Linked DNA regions of Kluyveromyces lactis. The protein of the gene in region 1 interacts with the protein of each later gene in a pairwise test. Links are inferred from orthologs where the notes say so. Each region holds a gene or a part of one and is shown in the gene's direction. Other genes may lie near its edges.

Region 1 (12,151 bases):
TGTTAAATTTTTGACCAGTATAGGAATTAACTGTCACAGCAATATAGCGTGTTTCTGGGAATGCTTCCTTGATATCATCTAACTTAACGTCTATAAATTCAGCGGCACCATTCGTCGCATCAGTGAAATCTCCAGAGTGTGTGACGGCGCCATTAGCCAAATTGTAATACGCAATTTCTCCTTTGTTTTCGAAGTTATCTGATAACTGCAAACATGATAAGTCAACATCTACCCTTCCTTCGTGTGCTGCGCCTTGTGTTTCCTTTATATTCTCCCAGTATAAGAACAACCGAATTACCTTGGAGTTCTTATCAAATCGCATCTTGGACCCTCTGCCAAAAGTATGCAAAGCCTCTGATGCGTCCCGCAATCCTATTGGTGGTATGTAATCCTCTAATATTGGATCAATAAAGATATTGCCTAAAGGCTCTAATTTACTGAATCGTTCTATCAGTACAGAGTCGATGCCCTTATACAAATTTGAACAGAGTTCTGAGGAATAAGTCTGGCGCTCGTCTTCATCTTCTATAATGGCGTTGGTTGCAGAGCCTTTTGGCAAGAAAACACGTATGGGTGATATTTCATGACGATATTGAAAATGAGTGGAAAGATTCAGAAGTAGCGGTGTCGATACAGACGATGCAACATCCAAAAAGCTAATTACAATTTGAGCATGCTCTGTAGATGGATATGAACGCAGAAGGTGATCTAACCGACGAGCAAAGTCACCAGGCCTTGCTTTCAAAATATGTATAATTGATTCTAAACTGCTTTCCATGTTGCCTTCATTTTTAAGGTCCTTTCTTGCTCTTAAGGCTGTTTCAATTGTTCTATTGAAGGTTTTTATCGATTTTTGGTTTCCTCTAATTGTTTGGATCATTTTGGCTGCGTTTGGATATCTGCTAGCGTAAGCATTGACATGTAAATATTTAGCTAATACAAGCCAGAGGCCCAAAAATCTCAGTATATCCTCCATTGCCGTTTCACGATCCAATTTGTTTAACGCGAACAGTAAGAACTTTCTTTGAGAATTTGATATTTTGAAGCGCGTGTGCTTAGTCAAAGCCACATCTGATCCAGAGAACGAAGCTGCAAGACGTAAAACATCTGTAGCAGTCTTGATATGAGTGGAAAACAATTTCTGTAATTCCTCATCAAATGGACCAGATTTTGTAGCAGCGCAACCAATGATGTGCACAAGGTTTTCTTTGCTAGGAATAACTTCTGGTAAAGAAGATTTCCAATCGTTCCCAGTGGCTATCACTGAGTTGATGAATTCTTTGTCAGAGGCAGAAGTTGAAGTCTTCGAATTAGCGAGGTTTTCGAAAAGTTCTAAGACCACTCCTCGGCCGACTATATCCAATGTCGTCAATTCTTTGCCAGTGATTAATTCAGGACGCTTAATGGCCTCCTGTAACTCTAAATCGGGATACTGTCTACCAAACCATGATCCATTATACTCGGACGATGACCAATATCCATAAAAGTTGAAGAACAGCAAATGAGTCAGATCTCCTAAACTTTCGTAGACTGCCTCTACCAACAGACTTCTGTCAGGAATAGACTCAGGGAATTTGCGAAACAACGGTACATATTTTACGTCTGCACCTAAAGCTTCCTCCAGAACAGTCTTCGCCATGGACCTGAATTCTGTTAGTTCATTGACAGACAGTGTTCTCAAATAGTCCTGCGCATTTTCTGAAAATTGATAACCCAACTTATTTAACTCAGCAACAAAGGTGAATAGTATGTCATCAATGCTTTCGATTGGATCAGAGCTGCACAATTCTTTCTCACCATACAAGGCCTTTCTGTTAGATAGCAGCTTTCTCGATATGGCTATACTCATTGACTTAGACTTTCATTAAACTCTTGCTATCTTACCATCCTAGTATTTGTCTCGAGATTTGCATTCACCGAATCTTTGTAATTGGTCTGAGTGTAAAATCAGCTGTCAGAAAGATCAACTATTCCTATATTTTTGATTAACTGTATTTCAGAACCTAAAAGTAAACTTGTTCCATTGAATCCTTGAAGATTTAGGCGGACTATTTATACTTAATTCTAAACTTGTCACCATAAATAAACATCTTTTTTTTCCGCCTTTAAAACCAGCTGGAACCAAAACACATCATTCTTCCTTCAAGTGAGTCATAGTTGACTTGGATAGCCCACTGCACTAAGAATTATTCTAGCCTTTCACTTACTCTTTCATTTACCCCAAGGAATAATAAAATCTCGTAGGTAAGCAGTCTCTTCCAGCTGTGCGTTGTACTGTTCATAAAGATGACATTTCCCAAACTCACCATATTCATGAAAGGAAAGCTGATCCTTTGATATACAATTAGATGACGTACCCCGCGTAGTTTCTTGTTCTCTGTAAAGCAACATTAACAACCCAACCAAGATGTGTTTTCCTTAGCCGAAGTAGATCTTTTCATACCGCATTGAACGGCTGAGAATTCACTTTTCATTGGTTTCCTCTTTCGAGAAAATCAATACTTAGGAGCCTACCATTCAAATGTGTAAAATTTGCTTTCACTATTCGATGCAATATCAAAGCCACCCAAAGCTACGGCACATTTTCACATTTGCAATCCAAGGCATCTGGAAAGAAAGGCTACTGCCTTTCATGCTCATTATCATAGTTTCATTCTCACGTGTGAAATCATGACGGGGAAAATGACAGCCCCATCTTCTTGTTAAAACCAAGACAAAAATTATCATTTGAAATCTCGTACAGATTGGGATTTTGGAAAACCCTTTTTCATTTAACTTCAGAGAATATATAGGATGAGTAGAATCTTTTAACCTTACATTTTTTTATGATGAGGTACATATGCTAGATATTAGACAATATTGTTGTGAGTACTGCTAATCAATAAAATATCGATATTTCATTGAACCTTGACTTTACTGTATTGGATCAAGTGAGTTCTAATATCAGAAAAGGATTGTCAAAGGGAACGTATACCCACTTAATTCTTCGAATATAAACAGCGATGGCTAATACCGTGGGAGGTGTGCTTTCGGGGGTCAATCCTTTCATATATAACTCTGGTTCACCAATAACGTTTTTCCTTATTCAAGCAGCGTTAATTCTAGTACTTACGAATGTTTTGCATGTGTTTATTTCGAAACTTAGGCAACCGAAAGTTATCTCTGAGGTTATTGCAGGTATCATACTAGGGCCTACCGTGTTTGGACAGATCCCAAATTATCTCACAACCATTTTCCCTGCTGGCTCAGTGACTGGTTTGAACCTTGTAGCTAATTTGGGAATCATTTTGTTCATGTTTTTCTTGGGGATGGAAGTCGATATTAGCTTCGTGAAGAGAAATGCCAAGGCAGCTATCTCGATTGGATTGGCGACGTTAATTGTACCATTCGGGTTTGGGTGTTTGTTTGCATTACCCTTATATAATGCTTATATGGACGGACATGGTATTGAATTCAAAGTCTTTATGGTATTCATTGCCGTTTCTCTATCGATTACGGCTTTTCCAGTCTTGTGTCGTATTCTTACCGAGTTGAGATTGGTGAAAGAAAGAGTAGGTATCATTGTTTTGACTTCTGGTACCATCAATGACGTTGTAGGCTGGATTCTTCTAGCCTTGTGTATTATTCTTTCCAACTCTCAGTCAGACCCAGTGAATGTCGTGTACATTTTGTTATGCACTTTTGGCTGGTTCCTATTCTGTTGTTATCCAGTCAGACTTACATTGAAGTGGGGGTTCAATAGATTCCATGAATTTGAAAGGGATAGCCCTTCCACTTTTGCCACTCTATTGATTCTTGTGATTGTACTACTAAGTGCTTACTTTACAGATATTATTGGTGTTCATCCGATTTTTGGGGCTTTTATTGCAGGTATTATCGTTCCTAGAGAAAACAATTACGTGTCGAAATTAACGGCACGCATGGAAGATATACCCAACTTACTTATGATACCAATCTATTTCACTATTGCTGGTTTGAACGTTGATTTAACTCTTTTGAATAAAGGTTCTGATTGGGGATACATCTTTGCAAGTATTGGTATTGCCGTTGCAACGAAGGTTGTTTCTGGTGCTCTTTTATCTAAAATAAATGGATTATGCTGGAGAGAATCTTTGGCTGTTGGTGTCTTGATGTCATGTAAGGGTATTGTGGAAATTGTTGTCTTAACAACTGGTTTGAACGCTGGTATAATCACCAAGAAGGTTTATGCAATGTTCATTTTCATGGCACTTATTTCAACTTTTATAACCACCCCATTGACGTTGTGGATTTTCCCTGATCATTATCGTAATGAATTGAAAAGACAACGAACTGACGGTAGTACTTCAGAAATAGTACCCAACACGGTCGGCAAGACAAAGGACTTGAAACACATGCATTTCTCTACCGTTGAATTGGTGATTAATAATGCCAAAGCTGTTGCGTTGTCCTTATGGTTCATCAAAGCGTTTAGTTCTGGGCAGGAAGAATGGAAAGAAATGTTTACTTCTGATTCGGGAGATTTAGAGAAGAAACATTTGAAGAAAGTACTTTCGACAGATACAGAAGCACTAACAGTAGTTTCTGATGATGACGAATCCCCGTTATTGGTCAATGCTAGGAATTTGAAGTTGATGTCAGATAGAACTGCTGAAATTCTTGAACTGACCAGTTTATACAATAGCCTGACATCTGCAGATAATGGTCTTGAAATGTTACGTGTGTTCTCATCTTTGTTTGGATTGAAATTCAAGGGCGAGGTCATGTTCTCATCACTGGGAGAAAAGGTTGGCTATATTGGAAAGATTCCAGTTGCAAATAACACCACGCTCTTGATACCACTAAACTATCCTAACGGTGAACAAAGTGAGTCCATCTCAAGGATTTTGTCATTCAATGATTTACCTGAAGACTTCTTCAGTACGCTTTCTTCCAAAATATCTTCATCCCTCGTTCTTCTTTTCGGAACTGTTGTTCATCAACAACCCACATCAGTTCTTGTATATCTACTAAATTCAACTTTAACTGGTTCTGACTATATGGCCTTGTTCTTGGGATTAGTGATGGGATTACATGCCAAGACTATCAAAATTGTTACCGTTTCAGAGCATCTGGTTGCTCTTGGAGAACTGCAAGAGATTCTCAGATCCTCCATTCTGATAAAATTGGATATTACAACTATATCGACTAACGAAACTGATTCCGCAGTTGCGAGTGTTGATGTCTTCAATGACATCGAACTTAATAATAAGAGTTTGGTGGTATTACCACAAGATTCTATAAAGTCTACATGTTTAGACGATTATTCTAAAGTGCTTGTAACGAAAGCTTCTAAAAGTGGTTCTACGGTAGCCATCTGTCATAGGTGAACAACAACGAACCCTAAATGTTTAATGGTTCAGTAGTTCCCGATTACTACCCTGTTTATTCAATATTTCGTCTACTTATATAAGCATTTAATAACACCACTGAGCTGTGCTTTAGTATAGAGTTGGGCAATCCGTTATCAATTACCAGTAAATCCATGCATTAGAAACATTATATCTGTCCTGATTCTAGATTCTGGTTCCGAATCTGAGTTTCACAATTGAAAAAGGTGATTAACTCAAATTTGTATACAATAAGATAATATGACGCGACAGTATTATTATCACGTGCACATGCCAGCACTAAAAATGAAATATGTCGCACTGTCGCTGTAATTTTACCATAGTAAAGTTTTGTCTGAAAGCACAGCAAGTTTAAACGATCCCTGAATAAAAATACCCTGACACGTTTAGTTTCCACATCATTTTAAAGCGATATTTCATTTCAAGCTGGGGCTCTGATTGCTATTGTTTCCGGTATTGTTCTGTCGATAATAACGGGAAATGATTCACGAGTTTAAAAAAAAATTTCTCGTTGCCAGCCGTGAAGATAAAAAAAAAAAAAAAAAAAAAATTGAAAACACATACTCATTATCTGTGCGAATTAAATACAGTTTTTAAAGGCGTAACTAAGATACATATCCATTAAAGTTTCCACCTCAGAATACCACAGGTACGTGGTACAAATAAACTGTTATTATCGAAAAGCACCAACCTTTCTAAAGCTAGAACCTGGAATAAGAAGCAGATCGAAAGAGTGCTGTTTTTGTCATTCTTTGAGCGATATTGGCGGTTGAGAATTTTTTTTTGGTTCTTGCAAACCGCTCAAAATTAGGCTTTACAGAATTCCTAATAACATTACAGGAACCTGTGAATAATCTCATTACTAGTAAAATTCCAACCTCTGAACCGTATCAGGCTATTTTTGGAATTTCTAAGGTCGTTCATATCTGACTTTTTGTTCTCTCGCTTTTCCCTTAAAGAGACATAAGAACTGGTTATAGAATAAGCTATATTTAATCTAAAGTCTCGGTTAAACACTACAAGCGGAAAAAAATTAAAATGCTGAATGCCGAGCGCCGCCCTTCTATGGCGGAACGTCGTCCTTCCTTCTTTTCTCCCGGTCCTGACGGCTCCTTACAATCAACTTCCCTCGTTGTGCCACATTTGGCTGGTATCGAGGATCCTTTACCGGAAACTACACCGGAACAAGTGGATGTACTCATTGCTGGTACCGGGTTGATTGAAAGTATTCTATCTGCTTCTTTAGCATGGCAGGGATCCACCGTTTTGCATATAGATTCCAATAACTATTATGGGGACACATGGGCTACAATGACAATTGATCAGTTGAAGAATTGGACAAATCAAGTGAATGAAGACTCAGACGAAACACGGTTTTACAAAGATGCCAGACTCTATGTCTCCGGGTTGGTAGCTCAGGGGAAATTCAAATCCAAGAATTTTGGTATTGATTTAAGTCCCAAGATTCTATTTGCACAATCCGATCTACTCTCAGTTCTAATTAAATCAAGAGTACATCAGTATTTGGAGTTCCAATCGTTATCCAACTTCCATACCTTTGAGAATGATAACTTTGAAAGGTTAACGAACTCGAAACAAGAAATATTTACTGACCAAACTCTTCCATTGATGACGAAACGCAATTTAATGCGTTTCATTAAATTTGTGCTAGAATGGGAAAAAAGCACGGACATTTGGAAACCATACGCTGAACAGCCACTTGCTAGTTTCCTAGTCGATAAATTCAAGCTAGAAAAACCTCAAGTTTTTGAATTAATATTTTCAATTGGTATGTGTCGTAATCTGGATACTAAGACACCAGAAGGTTTAGCAAGGATCAGAAGATTTTTAACTAGTTTTGACGTTTACGGACCTTTCCCAGTCCTATATTCAAAGTATGGTGGGCCGGGAGAACTATCTCAAGGATTCTGCAGATCAGCAGCAGTGGCTGGTGCCACTTATAAACTCAATCATAAATTGGTATCATACGATCCGAACTCCCAGACTGCGGTTTTTGAAGACGGTTCAAGAGTAAGAGTCACAGAAAAGGTTGTCGCATCCCCTACCCAACATCCCCAGAATGGCGGTAACATTCCTCCCCAGAAGTACGAAGTGCATAGGCTCACTTGTGTTGTGGAAAAAGACTGCTCACAGTGGTTCAGTGAAGGAGAAAGTGCTGCTATGGTCGTGTTCCCACCTGATTCATTGAAGACAGGAAACGTTGAAGCCGTACAGGTGGTGATTTTAGGCTCAGGAGCCGAAGTTTGCGAACCAGGTACTTGCGTTTGGTACTTCTCAACCACTCAAGCCGGTCCTCGAGGTGATTTGGACCTTGATGCTGCACTTGAAGCAATGATCAATAGTATTTTAAGGGAGTCCTCGGATATACCCAATGAGGATGAACTTGTACAAATCAATTCAAATGGCGTTCCACTAGTCAACAGTGTAAAACTGGGACAGTCGTTCAAAGAACTCATTTCAAAAGAACGGGTAAACTTCATCATGAAATTGTACTATACTCAATACACATCCACTCCTCCATTTGATATTGTTACTCCAGACTTATTTGATTTGAATAAATCTAAAGAATTTATTCCTGGCGCATCAGATAATGGAATTCTTTATACTTCGTTGCCATCAGGAGAAGTGTCATATGATGAAGTTATTACTGCAGCAAAGTTCCTTTATGAAAAAATAGTAGGAAGTGATGACGATTTCTTCGACCTTGATTTTGAAAATGACGAACCAGATCTAAAAAATACCAATAAAACAATTAATAGCTACGATGAAAGTGCTATCGCAGATGATGAAGAAGATATTCAAATGATGGACTCAGAGCCAGTTGAATTTGCAGGCGAGATGGAAATATGACATAGCGTCAAGCTTCTTCAAGTTTTCAAGCGACAATGCTTTCAATTCCAATAGCATCAGTATTCCTTCTTTGACAGATTGATTGAAATAACCCGATGTGTCTAACCTTGTATTATATGGAATTATCTATCCACAAAAGAAAAAAGTGACATCTTCTAGATAAGATTTGCGTCACATAAGCATATTTTGGATCCAGCTGTATTTCTTACTGCGAATTGCACTCTTTGATATAAACATACCTTTATTCAACCCACTACCTGGGAATCTTAAAACGAAACGTTATTTAAGTTATCCATAGAAGGCAGATGCAGGAAAAATTCATACTTGTTTTCAGTTCCTGGAAATCAAAAATAGCAAAACCTTAATTAAGATTATACATGATATTAACCTAACTTCTCATACATAAAGTTAACAAAAGAATAGTGTTCGGCTTCTTAACTGCTCTTTGATTTAATTGTCATTCTCGAAAGCGAGGAAAAAACATTAAATTAAAGCTCAGAGGCGGCTTCTTATCTCCAGTAATGATTCTAATTGTTTCCCAGCTTGGTCGAAGTTATTTTTCGACAACCAGTTCTTAAAGGCAGTCCGAGCAACTGCCCATTCTTCGTCAATGATGGAAAACCAGCATGTGTCTCGAGTTCTTTGTTTGTAAATCATTGCATTTCGGAACGTACCCTCAAATTTAAATCCAAGTCTTTGAGCTGCGTTACCCGATGGTTTGTTTAAACTGTCACATTTCCACTCATATCTTCGATACCCTAAATCTTCGAAAACATAGTTCATTAGCAGATAGTGGGCTTCTGTGGATATCAACGTCCTTTGCATATCTTTTGAAAAGAGGACGAATCCTACTTCAATGACCCCATTATTGATGTCCGTCCTAATCAATGAAAACGTCCCAACAGCTTTTCCAGTCTTCTTGTTAATGATTGCGTAAGTCTTGGAAAGTGGTAGTTTGGCAAGACCTTCGAGATAACCTTTCAATTCACTGAACGTGCGACGGGGTTCAGAGGGAAGGTACGTCCAAATAGAGTCCGGAGAAGCATTATAAGCTTTAAAAAGATCCTCTGCATGTTTGTTAACATCAAGAGATTCGACTAGACAATGTTCACCATGGACCACAATATCCTCAGGAAGTTTTCTTACAGTCCAATCGTATATTGGTTTACCAACAGGCTGTTCAAATTGATTTAGTAGAACAGACATTGACAACTGACTATCTTCGACCCTTGTAAATGTCTTTCTAAGGTTAAAATAACTGTGTCTTCCTGTTTGTTGGTGTTAGAGTAGTATGACTAAATCCTTCGAGAATACTCTTCCTTTTAATTGAGAAGCAAAATGAATTTCCATTAGAGATTTGCGCAAGGCTCTGACATAACCTGATGATTGACCCGGTTTAATTGGTTTATATTCCTGATCAAGAGCAATAAATTACATGGACAAAGATGCCAATCCTCTCAGTGGAATAAAGTGCTTGTCATTGAGCAACCTCATCAAAGCATAAAGGAAATCGTTAATTAACCTAAAGGAACTGAGAAAAAAAGACACCAGCTAGTAAGTAACATTGTATAATATGTATAAAAACGTAGTGCATACAACCAATACGGACCAAAATGATATCCGACCCACGCTTTCAGTATGATAATGTTCTCTTTGTGGATGATGATGATACTTCGGAAACAGTCATTTTCAATATACGATCTTGGTACCTGACTCTTGTAGGTATACTTGTGAAATATGGTAGCCAATCGATCAGTGATGCGACTACGATGCTCGACAATTCATGGCTAATCAAGGGTTTCTGCTGTGAAACATACAAGCAGGTGTGTTTGTACAGTCATGAATACGAGTATTATTGGGCCATGCTTGTTTTGCATGGGGATTTGTTCTGGCGCAGGGGAATTAGTGGCGACTTGCCAACAGGATATGATCAGTGGGAGCAAGAATACATACGCGCTAACGGCCTTGCGGAATCAATATTTGAATTCAGTTAAGGCGTTTTCTCTATATAGATTGAGGGTAATACCCTCCTGCACATTTAGAGAATTGACATCGGAAGCTTGCTATCCGCATCGTTAGGGTACCTTCTTGTTCTTTGTTCTATTACAGAAGTTGAGAGAAGTTGAAGAAAGAAAAAATAAACTAGAGACTTAAGACTAAAAGATTAAAGAATCTCGTTTGAGTATTCTGGACATTATAAAAGATAGAGGGACAGGAGAAGAAGTAAGGAAGTAAGGTACTGGCATTTATAGAAAAATAGCTACCTCAATTAGATCCCTCATTCAGCAAAAAATTGCCCAACGATTTTGTGCTCGTCTATAATGAATGGTTTTGATATAGATAATAGTATGAAACAGTCCCAATTGGAAATGCCATATCCAAATGAGGGCGAAGGCGGGCAGCACCAAAATACCCATGAGTTTGCAACATCTTACGATGCTGAAGAGGATCCCAACGATGTTGACAACCATTCGATTAGTACCCATTTTTCATACCATGATGGGAAATCGTTATTGGAGCAAGGGATCAAAAAGTTAGCACTAGATCACTTGCACAGCAACAATGCTAGCGTCGACTCGAATCTCGGTATGAAATCACAATTTCCTTCGTATTTTGGTAATTCGCCATTGGACGCAGCTGCTTCAGTCGCTGCAGCCGGAATACCTCGCCATGAACGAAGACTTTCACTATCTGCACAACAAGCGGAACCAGAGGTATTGATATCTAGTCCAATGTCCCAAAAGCCATCATCATCATCATCTGCTCAGATCTTAGATGTAGAACGGATCAAATCAGCTCAATATAAGATGGGCCTAATTGCTGATGATGGTCAGCATTCCTACGATTCACCCTCTCTTGAATTGGTAGAGTTGTATTCAAGTGTCAGCGATTGCAGGGAACTGAGAGAGAAGTACCAAACCTTGTCATTACAAAAACACCATCAAAACCCGAAGAACAGACCTGATTGGAAAATTTATCCACCACCGCCAAAACCTTCCTATAATGCAGCAAATAAAACTGTTGTGAAGGTCAGTAATTTGCCAGACTCAAAATCTTTTGACATTAATGAATGCGAAATTCCTGGCTTAGATGAAGATGTGGACTTCAGACTCAATAGCGATGAAGTTTATGTTTTATATGATACTAAAACTGAGGACAAAAAACAGGCTGGAAACGTCTTTCCAACACTACGTGAATATTATATTGACATGGAAAAGATCATTTCTGTCTCCTCTGATGGTCCAGCAAAATCATTTGCTTTCAGAAGATTGCAATACCTTGAAGCTCGTTGGAATTTGTATTCGCTTCTAAACGAATATCATGAAACTGCTGTATCAAAAAAGAACCCTCATAGAGATTTCTACAATGTCAGAAAAGTAGATACTCACGTTCACCATTCGGCATGTATGAATCAAAAGCATTTGCTTCGTTTCATAAAGCATAAATTGCGCCATTCGAAAGATGAAAAGGTCATTTTTAGAGATGAAAAAATCTTGACATTAGAAGAGGTCTTCCAATCGTTGAAACTGTCAGGGTATGACCTTTCTATCGATACTTTGGATATGCATGCACACAAGGATACATTTCATAGGTTTGACAAATTCAATTTGAAATATAATCCTATTGGGGAATCTCGTTTACGTGAGATATTCCTAAAAACCGACAATTATATCGATGGTAAGTATCTCGCTGAAATAACAACGGAAGTCATTTCAGATTTGGAAAATTCAAAATATCAGAACTGCGAGTACAGAATCTCTATCTACGGAAGATCTCCTGACGAGTGGGATAAATTGGCTGCTTGGGTGGTTGATAACAAGCTTATCTCTCACAATGTGAGATGGTTGATCCAAATCCCAAGATTATATGATGTTTATAAGAAAACGGGAATTGTCGAGAACTTTTTTGAT
Region 2 (10,696 bases), on another chromosome or scaffold:
ACGGATGCAAGAAAAAAACTCATAAACATGACAGCGCATACAAAAACGCAAAAACCCAGCATAATAATTTTGGGAGGCGTTACATGAGAGTGCGGGTAAGAAAATGCTTCGGAAACTTGACATCGTTTTTAACGATAGCAGTTATGATCGTCATATTCACAGTAGAACGGAACGGGTCCTCTTGATAGTGGTGGTACTAGGCGCAACTGGTGTAAATGAGTAATTGAAGATCCATTACTTTTCCGTGATGCAACAGATCAGCTTCAGGCAAAGAAATAGGGAGTTACAGTTTAGTTCATTCTCGTGATTTCCTGCTTACTGTTCTTTCCCCCTTGCAATAAGAGTATTAGAAGGAGGTGCTAATCCTTTTTGCTTGGTCATTTTTTTTTATCTCGTAGTTGCGTTACAAAAAAAAAATCCATGTAGAGCTGTTTACAACCAAACACAGGGAAGAAATACAGCCAGATAGTATAGTGATGTATGGGTGTATAGTCACGTTCGACGAAGTTATTCTGATACTCTATGTGTGCGCATTAGTAAAGGGAAAAGTTAGTGACTCGAATAACGCCCGTGAACCACAATATGATTAGTTAATCAAAAATCTTCATCAAGATTGGGGGAGATTCCTGTTTTGTGGACGCCAAAACCGCAAAATTTTGGAGGGTTGCTTCCGTTGTCGGGTAACTTATTGTGTTGAAAGCAAGCTTTGATGTCATTTTGCCAAAATGTCTGTTGTACATTATATATTTTTACCTTAATGTCCAGCCATCAGTTCCCTTCGTATTTCAATCACACAACTCTGACAGGAATTAAATCATCTCTTTTCAGTCCCAACGCTAACAGTATTTTCATAAGACTCAGCTTGGCTTGCAAAATTAACACGCGTACTATAGGATATTTGGAAATGTCGCTATATCATAGCCTAGTATTTGCTATCTTAGTCGTGGAATTGATTACATTGACTTTGTTAGGTCTTCCACTTCCCTCGAAGTTTAAGAAACCTGTCATCTCTGCCCTTTCGAAACCTTTCTTTTCTCCTACGGTTCAGATAACAATCAAATGCTTACTAGCATTCATTCTATTACTTTTCGTTGATTCTATAAATAAAGTCTACAGCGTAGAGGGCGAATTGGATAAGCTAAAGGAAGTAGGTACAGGTACTCATCCTCAAGGAAGAATGGAGATTTTATCAAGAAAGTTCTTCTGGCAGAGGAACATGTACTTAACGGGCATTACTTTGTTCTTAACATTTGTATTGAGCCGTACCGTTAACCTTGTCTGGGAGTTATTCGAGCTAAAAGAGGATTATCATTTGATCTTGAAATCGGAGGAAGATAAACTGGCTCCTCAACAAAAGGCATTAGAAAAAGAAATTGAATCTGTAGATGAGGAAATTACAAGATTGAAGGAGCAGGCCTCTGCTTTACAGAAAGAGATGGAGTAAAACCAGGGAATGGGATATGACCTTTTATGACCTTACGTCTATATGTATATATATATATAAGTAAGCGAAAAATATTTACATGTCTATGATTCAATGAACGTTGAAGACCAAACTTTCAGGATAGACGCCGCACGTTCTGACGAATATTTCACGTTCTTAGTTAGTTGCAAATGAATTACTTTTATGTTTTGGAGTGAAAACGAATTCATCGTTCACTTTACCAAAGAACATTTCGGATAATTTGAGCCAGTCGTTAGAGTCAGTGGAGCCTAACAATGTTTCTAGATCATCACGGCCTTTCCAATTTGGTGGTCTTTCGTTTAGTAGAACGGGGTATCTTTCACAAATACCCATTGGAACATATCTGTGGAAGAATGACATAAATTCACAGAAGAATCTACGACATTGAGAGATACCATACTGGTCAGTACCCCAATGATCCATTGCAAATTTACAATAGTCTTTCAAAATTTCCAATCTTTCCTTAGAACTTTTATCCATGTATTGCTGGGCATCGACTTCTTCGAAGATCCATGGCTTAATTAGTGCACCACGAGCAACCATCACACTATCCATGTTTTTATTTTCAAGATGTTTGTACCAATCTTCCCAGTTGTTACAATCACCGTTACCAACAAATTGAATCTTCTGGCCATCTCTTAGATTCTTGTTCTCTTGTCTTTCTGCTTCGTATGTCCTTACCGCATTAGCTACCTCTCCGACATAGTCCCAATCGGCAGATTTAGTGTATCTTTGTTGTCTGGTTCTACCATGCAAAGTGATAGCTGCAACGTCCGTTTCAAGCACTAATCTCTTAGTGATAGATAATGCAATTGGATGGCCTTCTCTAGTACCAGTACGGATCTTCACGGTGACAGGTATGTCGTTCGAAACATAGTTCATACCATTCAAACAACGGATCATTCTGGCAGGATTATCTAGTAATGCGCTTCCGCTACCTTGTCTGTATAAAAGATCAATCGGGCAACCACTGTTTAGATTTATTTCGCTAACTCCAGTGACGTTAGCAGCAAGTGCTTCTGCAGCCTTTGCAGCTTGCCAAGTTTTTGAACATGCAATTTGAACACCAAACCCAGGAAACTCTGAGCAATGGGCCTTCGGTAGTGCCCATTCTGAATTTGTACCTTGAATCAAGGGAACAGCCAAAGCCATTTCAGAATAAGTCACGTCTGCTCCTAATTTCCGCATTAGACGACGGTAAGGCAAGTTACCGACGGTAGTCAAGGGAGAGACGATCTTCTTATGATGCAAATCTAGCTTTCTCTTCTCCTGTGCGAAAAACCTGGTATCGTGATATTTCAAATACAGTTCACGTTGTCTTTCTCTTTTCTCCGTTAGTTGGTTTTGTTTTTCAGTTGCTTGAAATGAGACCTTTTCATCATTAGCGTCTTCACCAGCATTAGCATCTGTAGTTGTTTCAGAACCCTTTGAAGTGTTCATTAAATCTCTATTCTCTTGTTGCATGGCATCAATAATCTCTAATATATAATCGCTCTTCGTGAATGAGAATCTTCTCTTAATTAGATCATACTTCCTTTCACCGTCTATGTGATTGATCTCATGGTTAGCCTCATAAAGCTTTTTCCTCTCATCCACCTCGTACAGATCTTTTAATTCCAGAGTCTCCATATTACAATGCGAGGAAAGGAAACAACATTTGTAACCCATGGGACAATGTCCCAAAGATTGCCAAACTGGACATATGGGGAAAAACTCGGTTTTAATCTCAGGGGCTTTCTTAGACAAGTACTCTCTCACATCATGCACGTACCTACACTTAGTATCAAAAGAACAGGTAGCATCGACGTTAGTGACAAATTTCGAACAAAGAGCGTGCTGTTCTCTCACTTGTCTGTTATCACGGTTCTTGTTTTGACCTCTTTTCTTCTTACTGTTTTGTTTCTTACCCTTTATTTGATTTGCCGGTTGAGATTCAAGACGAGAAGACGTGGACTCTTCTTCGTCGTTATACTCGCCTGCCATAGGCCTGGAACTACCATTTTGATCATTGAACAAGATAAATTCTGGTTTCAAATGAGCGATACCTTTGGAAGTGGCAGTATCCGTTTTCTTAGCCGACGGCTGTTCATCTGAACTAGCTGGTCTCTTGACCTGTGGTTGACTTGGATCCATATCAGGTATACCAGGGGTTATTGATTGCACTAGCGAAGTGGATGCTTTGAATTACTTATCTCTATCGATTCATCTCATCTTGTCGATGAGATAGGCCTGTAAATATTGTGCATAAATTTCATCGCTTTTTTTTTTGTCAATTTTCACGTAGAATGATGGAAACAGCTCACCAGTGATGCGATGGGAATTACATAAACTGTATAAATTCGATCGCTACTGGCATGAATCTCTTTTGACACATTGAAAAAAGCATTCATAGCAAACAATGACGATTCACGTGACGCGTCGCCCGTCACGTGAATCGTCATTGTTGGCCTCAATAAAGTCCGGGTAAACAGGGACTGGCCTAAGGCCTCTGTCCTGTCTTTCCTTGCTCCCACTACCAAAGAAAGGATCTAATTTTCCCCCCTAGAAACCGTAGCATGGGAAAAAGGGTCAAGACAGGAGGCCAGAAACTCGGAATTTATCTCAACACTGTCCGTGCAGAGTGATTTTATATCACTTTGTACGTACAACAGTCCGTTCCCCTTCCTCTTCTCTATGCCTGCCCCCTCTCCGAAAAAGGAATAAGACCAGTACTGCTACGCCTGTTTCTGACCCCAGCAGCTGACTTCAATAGAAGAACCCGCTGCACGGATTCCAAAAGTCGTTCAAAACTATAATTGAACACTGCGGATATATGTAATTGGGTTTGATATTGTGATATTGTGATATATATATGTGAAAGTGGAATATAGAGAATAATGTATGGTGATGATTTGATATGAAATCTTGAGACAAGTAGGATCAGGAAAGAAGTCGATAAGTTCGGTCGGATATTATACGGTCTCAGGCGTTTGATTTATCCAGCTAGGCACGGCAGAGAACGCTATCGGGTCGGAACACAGACGATCATTCTGGGGACAGGACAGGTCTGTTATAATATTTCATTTTCTCGGTCAGAAAGTTGAATTTAGATTTCAAGATACGGTGAGAGAATTCGGTATAATATAGAAGTTTCATCGGCTCATCTGTAGTATAAAGCTGGGAGAAATAGGATAAGGATTGGTAACGCAACTGTGTGGAATCTTTCTTAAAGGTTTTTTATACTATTCTCTTTTTTTTTCCTGAAGGCTACGTAGTCTAGTTTTAATTTTACTCTCTTTTTCCTTGTACGGAACAGCGAGATGGAAACGACTGCTACAACAACTGCTCCGGCCAGTAATACTACTGGTTCAGGACCAGGGATATTTATTAGTGAGAGTATGGTGGATAACAGTGGAAGTGCGGGTTCTAATGGGAATACGCATCAGATGGCTAAGTTAAGAAGAGACTCTATTGCTCATTCTCAGGGAATAGGTGGTGTTTCATGGGGGTCGCTTACGATCAGTTCGTGGCTACGAGATGAAGTTATGATCCATGCTCAGTCGTACGGAAAGGATCATGGATCTCTTTCTATAAATGGCCACATCAACGTTAATGGGAACAGCAGCGGCCATGGTAGAGCATATCCGATCAACGTACAAAATTCGAATGACTTCTTGGGAAAACATGGTAATGGGAATGTTGGTGGTGGTAAGAGCCCCTTGGACCTTACAAAATTTGCCTCTCCTCCTGGTTCATCAGGTGCTTATTTGCCCAATCTTGAGAAACAATACTGCAAGGATTATAGCTGCTGTGGCCAACTGCTTCCTAGTTTGCACGACCTCTTAAGGCATTATGAAGAAGCTCATATTGCCACTTCTCCAGGAAGCCATAGCAACGGTCTCCCCTCTCACCATAACAACCATGGCCATGTTCATCACCCTATGAACCCAAATATGGTCGGAGTCAATATGAACTTCAATCTGCAATCAGCTGCTCATGCCTCTTCAAATAACGGTAACCATCATTCTCAATCTAATAACACCAGCTCTGCAGCCATGTCAAACGCAAATTCCAGCCATTCTAATTCGCATTTGCATTCTCATCTAAATCAGCACGCCAGTGGTTCGCTAGCGTCAAATAACATGCATGGCCAACTGAGAAGTGGACCAGACCATCATAATCATGCCATGCAACAGGAACATCTGTCTTCTAACGGTGTAAATTATCAGCAGCGGAAGGCTATATTATCGCAGCAACGGATGCAGCAGCAACATCAAAGTAATAATAATACCAATAACATTAATGATAACAATAACAATAACGGCAACAATAACAACACTATAAACGGGTCTCAGCACCCAAGAAAGTCTGATCACCGTCTACTTCAATCGGGAAGTGGTTTAACTGGATCTGGTCAATCTCAAAGCAAAGTACCGCGGGGCTCACAGATTAATACCTCGTCATCCAGTTCAAACCTGACTTCTTTGTCTCAGTCTGGCCAATCATCCGCTTCCACTAATCAACTGCATTTGAATGGGGGTTTCGTGGATGCAGTTTCGACAAATGAAGTGTTTCTACAATCGAAACATTCCCAGCCATCATCATCTAGAAATGTTTCTAATTTCAACTCATACTCTACGAAATCTCATCAAACAATGGTCCAGCCAGCTAGCAAGCGGTCTTTACCTTTGGGATCTGGTTTGGATCTTGATTACATGGAAGCGGGGGTTATTTCTGGATTAAACGATAGTTCTCTTGGAGGGGTCATGGGCTTTGGTTCGATTGATCCTCTTTCGCACAACGTCCCGCTAACAAATACTAATCAACTAGGACTCTCAAAAAAATCCAAGAAGTTGACTAATTCCCACATGAAAATGAAGGGTATTGGAAGGCAGGATAGTGACTCAGGTTTGCTTGGAGATCATGAATCCGGGGTAGTTATTGGTGAAGATGATGATGATGACGATGAAGTTGTCGATGAAGATGAAGATGATGAAGATGATCATGATGATGAAGATAACGTTTTGTCCAGTAGAAAACAACAGGGTTACATTGATGATCCAGCTAGAAGACTTTACGTGATGGATCACGAGGAGCATAAACCGTTCAAATGTCCAGTGATAGGATGTGACAAGACGTACAAGAATCAAAATGGTTTGAAGTATCACAAACTGCATGGTCATCAGAACCAAAAATTACATGAAAACCCAGATGGCACTTTCAGCATAATAGATCCAGAATCTAATGAACCTTATCCTGATGGAATGGGTATGGAAAATGACAAACCTTACCGCTGTGAAGTCTGTGGAAAGAGATATAAGAATTTGAATGGTCTTAAATATCATAGAGGGCATAGCACACATTGATCGAAGAGCATCGGCATTGTTTCTTTCTAATTATGTGTCATTCCAATGCCTATGTTTGTGCTTTATGGCCTCTTATCTAATTCTGTCAGCATGTGTAACCAGATAATTGTTCTCGTCTTCATGTTTTTTGTTTCTCCGTTCGATTTTCTTAGGTTGCTTCCTTTTTTGAATAATATGATCCTTTGATTTAAAGGCCGTTGTAAATCCCCTTCATCTTCATTTTCATTTTCATTTTGTTTTATTCCGTCTTATTACATACAAGTATACATCATCAAAAGGTATTCCTTACTTTCTGTTGTATTCTATCGTTATAAGCTGCAGTCCGTTAAAACTCAGTGGACTTCATACCTCTATATATTTATCTGTCGTTTTGTATACTAAATAGGATTCTGGAGCGTTGGAAAAATCAAGATTATATTTAAAGCTTTCGCTAGTATTTTAAGGTAAAGAATATATGTAAGCATGAAGTGAACAGCTGCCGTTGCAAAACAAAGAAGTTGAAAAGCGTCACTCCCCGATAGCAAGCTATAAATTAATGAAGATAAACGTATCCATTCCACTTCAGGCAGCAAGATGGTTTTCTTATTTGCTTATACTTATATGCATTGAGATTATCTTCATTTTACCATTATCGAATCTTTTATGGATAGATTTTATCAATAGGTTGATTCCAAACAACAGAATGCATGTTATACCTTTGAGCAACATGGCTAATTCTTGGACAGTTCCATTTGATTTGCGGGTCATTGCCAATGTTACATCAACTAAAGAGAATGAAATACGATCAGACATACCTTTAGATGTTACCTTAAATTTGGGGATTTATTGTACTTCTCACCGACCAATTGAGGCCGTGACTTTATCAATAGATGACAATCCCAGAAAGTTACCTCTTGTATGTTTTGATAACTTGAATTTTCTCTCTTCAAGATTCAATGGGTTCGATTCAGTGTCAAAAACTGTCAAGAAAGATGTCATCAATGACTTTAAGTTTGGATTTCCTGTAAATCCTGATAACAAGAGGATCAGGATAGATTTAAAGGACTATACTGAGGACTACCTTTTAAGTTACATCAATGTCCAATTTTCAGTGAAATATACCGGATTCCGAAAGTTTTTACTAAGCTGGAGAAGAACTTGTCATCTATTGGGCACTTTATTATTTGCTAGTTTGATTTCTAGTTGCTTCCTATTATCTTTTACTGGTGTCTTCAGCTATATTGTAATGGCATAAAACAGACACTCAAGTAGTTTTATTCTAACTCACATCTCATCCTGATGTTAAACAGTCATACTCTGTTGAATTGTTGTATTTGGAAAAATGCGAATTTTTAATGATAATAGAGTTTCTATTGACTTTGATTGTTCAAATGACTTGATGCATTAAAAAAGTAAAATTAGGAAAGTACGAAACACATATATACAAAAGTTTCTACTTATAATTTGATATTGCTAGTAGGCCCTTGTTCAAAGAATGGTTTTGGTAAAAACCAGGGTCTAACTCCATGTAAATAAGGTTGTTTCCGTTAACCTTCTCAAACTCGACAAATTCCTTCATAGTAAGATTGAAAGTGTATATTACTTTTATCAACTTGGTCAGTCTAGTGATCAATTTCATCCTTTCAACAGCCGTAACAGGGTTATAGTCTTGCTGGTTGATTATTTTTTCATCCATGATATCAGACGATCCCGTGAATGTGTCACCTTCGAAAAGCTGATTGAGTTCTATTTGTGGGATCGTATTTTCTTTCTCCTTCGAGATTTCGTTGTCGTAAACCTTGGTCACAGAGTCCTCAACAAGATTCAACTGCTGAAGTTCCTCAATGGTAGGTGCTAGAGAGTCAAAATCAAATCCATCTAGCAGTGTGTCATTTGCGATGCCGAATGGATTCGGTAAAGGTTTATCATAGGGTTTGGTGCTTTTAACTCCCCACTTCTTATTGAAATCTTGGATTTTATCCAGTAAGTTCTTCCTTTGTATGGCCTGAGAGTTCACCGTTACAGTTTTGAACACATATCTGATGGGTTGCTTCTGTACGATATCTTTGCTAAATTTTGACTCAGGTGGGGCCATAAGCTTCCGTTTCTTAGTAGTTTCGGTGTCTGAATTGTTTATGATATGAGATCGGGATTGCTGTGACAGTTTGTACAAAAGGTCCTCCGAAGATTCTGATCTTGATGAGGTCGATGCAACAGATGATACGGTGCTATACATAGATATCATCTCTTGAGTATCAAAGGTATCTGTTGTGCTACCTGAAGCTACACTATCCCTCCTTTTGCTTGCCGATGATGGCTTTGGAGGTAGTTCTGGTTTACTTTTCGAAAAACTAGACAACAGAGCCCCAAAGCCAAATTTGGGTCCACTTTCCTGCTTCAAGTTTTCACTTTCTGCAGTGTCATTGCTGTGGAGACTTGATGTGCTGGAAGAGCTATCGTTTCTTATTGATCCATTCTCTCTTTTATTTTTGTTTTTTTGAGCGATCATTATAGCTGCTCTGCTTACTAGCTCATCAGACACGTCAAAGGGATATTTCCCTCTATGAATAACAACACCCGGCCGGATATTGGTCATCCGTGACATATTATTGAACAATGCGGTGTTGTTGACATTTTTGTTATTTGCTTCTGCATGCATACACTGGCTTACGAGTAGGAGGTCTTCTTCATACAATGGTTCTTGACGCTCTAGTATTAACCTATTATTGGTATGGAAAAATAATACCGTTTTCTCATCAACTAATTCAGTGTAGTCACAGTTCAAAACGTTAATAATTTGCCAAACCTCTTTATTTATGGCATAGAATTTATGTTTGATGGCATGAATCTGATCCGTTGAAAGATCTTTATCCGGGAGTATTTTGAACACGAGTAATTTATGAAAAAGAATGCTTATGATGTGGAAGTCAGTATCAACAGACAGTAGATTCCATAACTCGTCGATAATAGTAGTAACCACCCGTTTACGATGAGTGACAGGGATGACACTCCACACATTGAAGAGACACAACAAACCGACTAATTGAGAATCAACATTGAAAGTTTTCAAGGTTCCAAAAATACCATCAGTCCAATCATTCCATGACATAACTTCGATAAATTTGGGGAGTGTGTCAAAATGGAATGTATAAAACTGAAATATTATATTGAATATAATATTAGCCATCCATGAATCATAAGCTGATATAACGGAAGACGCGTTTAAAAACTGCTTTTCTTGGTATGAAAAGAAGCTTATTAATAAACTTTTATCCATAGAAGTGTTATGAAAGAACCCTATTAAGGATCTGATGCATTCTATGATTCTGACAACTTGAAACTTGGTGAAGATAAAATTGATGATCTTCTCTCGACCAACATTAATTTGGTTGGGATTCGAAGTTGTTGCATTTTTCAGAAGTGCAGCCTCATGCTTGTCTTGTTTGTCTTGGATCTTGATGAACCTTGAAAGCCTTTCTAAGTCTGCCTTCAAAGAATTTGAGCAAATATGAGAAATTATAGGACAACCGGGGAAATTCTCTGGTTCCAATTTTTTTAGCCCTGACTCATGATGTATATTAAGTATAATGTACCAATAATGAAACAAGAAGGTGGTAAGAACCTGAGGATTCTGTAGGTATGAGATCATGATGGGGAAAGCTTTTTTTGTTTCTTGTGTCATAACATCACCATATTCAGTATTACCAAACTCTTCTATGATGTCCTGTGTATACTTAGATTGAGGTACACCTTCATCAAGAATAGCAAATTGCTTACTTCTGCAAGGTAGTAAACTCACTCCTTCTATATTTTTTATGTCAAATCTTCCTCTGGAAATGAACTTCACAACTTCGAAGTCATAGTGTAGTTCATCATTCAAATAGCATAATGCAAATGCAATGATTTT

Evidence for each region. The genes of interacting proteins can lie anywhere in the genome.
Region 2: the proteins of MRS6 (region 1) and SFP1 interact in binary tests that used the Saccharomyces cerevisiae proteins (3 or more experiments, as listed by UniProt). The link is inferred for Kluyveromyces lactis from reciprocal best matches to the Saccharomyces cerevisiae genes MRS6 and SFP1.

The regions. Positions count from the first base shown.
Region 1 is NC_006040.1:529,729-541,879, reverse strand, and holds MRS6 (GTPase-activating protein MRS6), read left to right. Parts: upstream 1-6,407; coding exon 6,408-8,240; downstream 8,241-12,151. Other genes in the region: KLLA0_D06281g (TerD family protein), read right to left, coding at 1-1,849; KHA1 (Kha1p), read left to right, coding at 3,003-5,348; KLLA0_D06215g (uncharacterized protein), read right to left, coding at 8,736-9,446; KLLA0_D06193g (uncharacterized protein), read left to right, coding at 9,854-10,234; KLLA0_D06171g (uncharacterized protein), read left to right, coding at 10,562-12,151. UniProt on the Saccharomyces cerevisiae protein: Substrate-binding subunit (component A) of the Rab geranylgeranyltransferase (GGTase) complex. Binds unprenylated Rab proteins and presents the substrate peptide to the catalytic component B.
Region 2 is NC_006038.1:271,412-282,107, reverse strand, and holds SFP1 (zinc-coordinating transcription factor SFP1), read left to right. Parts: upstream 1-4,764; coding exon 4,765-6,810; downstream 6,811-10,696. Other genes in the region: YET3 (Yet3p), read left to right, coding at 710-1,444; tRNA dihydrouridine synthase DUS3, read right to left, coding at 1,601-3,598; SEI1 (seipin), read left to right, coding at 7,346-8,044; AHK1 (Ahk1p), read right to left, coding at 8,243-10,696. UniProt on the Saccharomyces cerevisiae protein: Transcription factor that regulates ribosomal protein (RP) and ribosome biogenesis (Ribi) gene expression in response to nutrients and stress. Promotes RP gene expression under optimal growth conditions.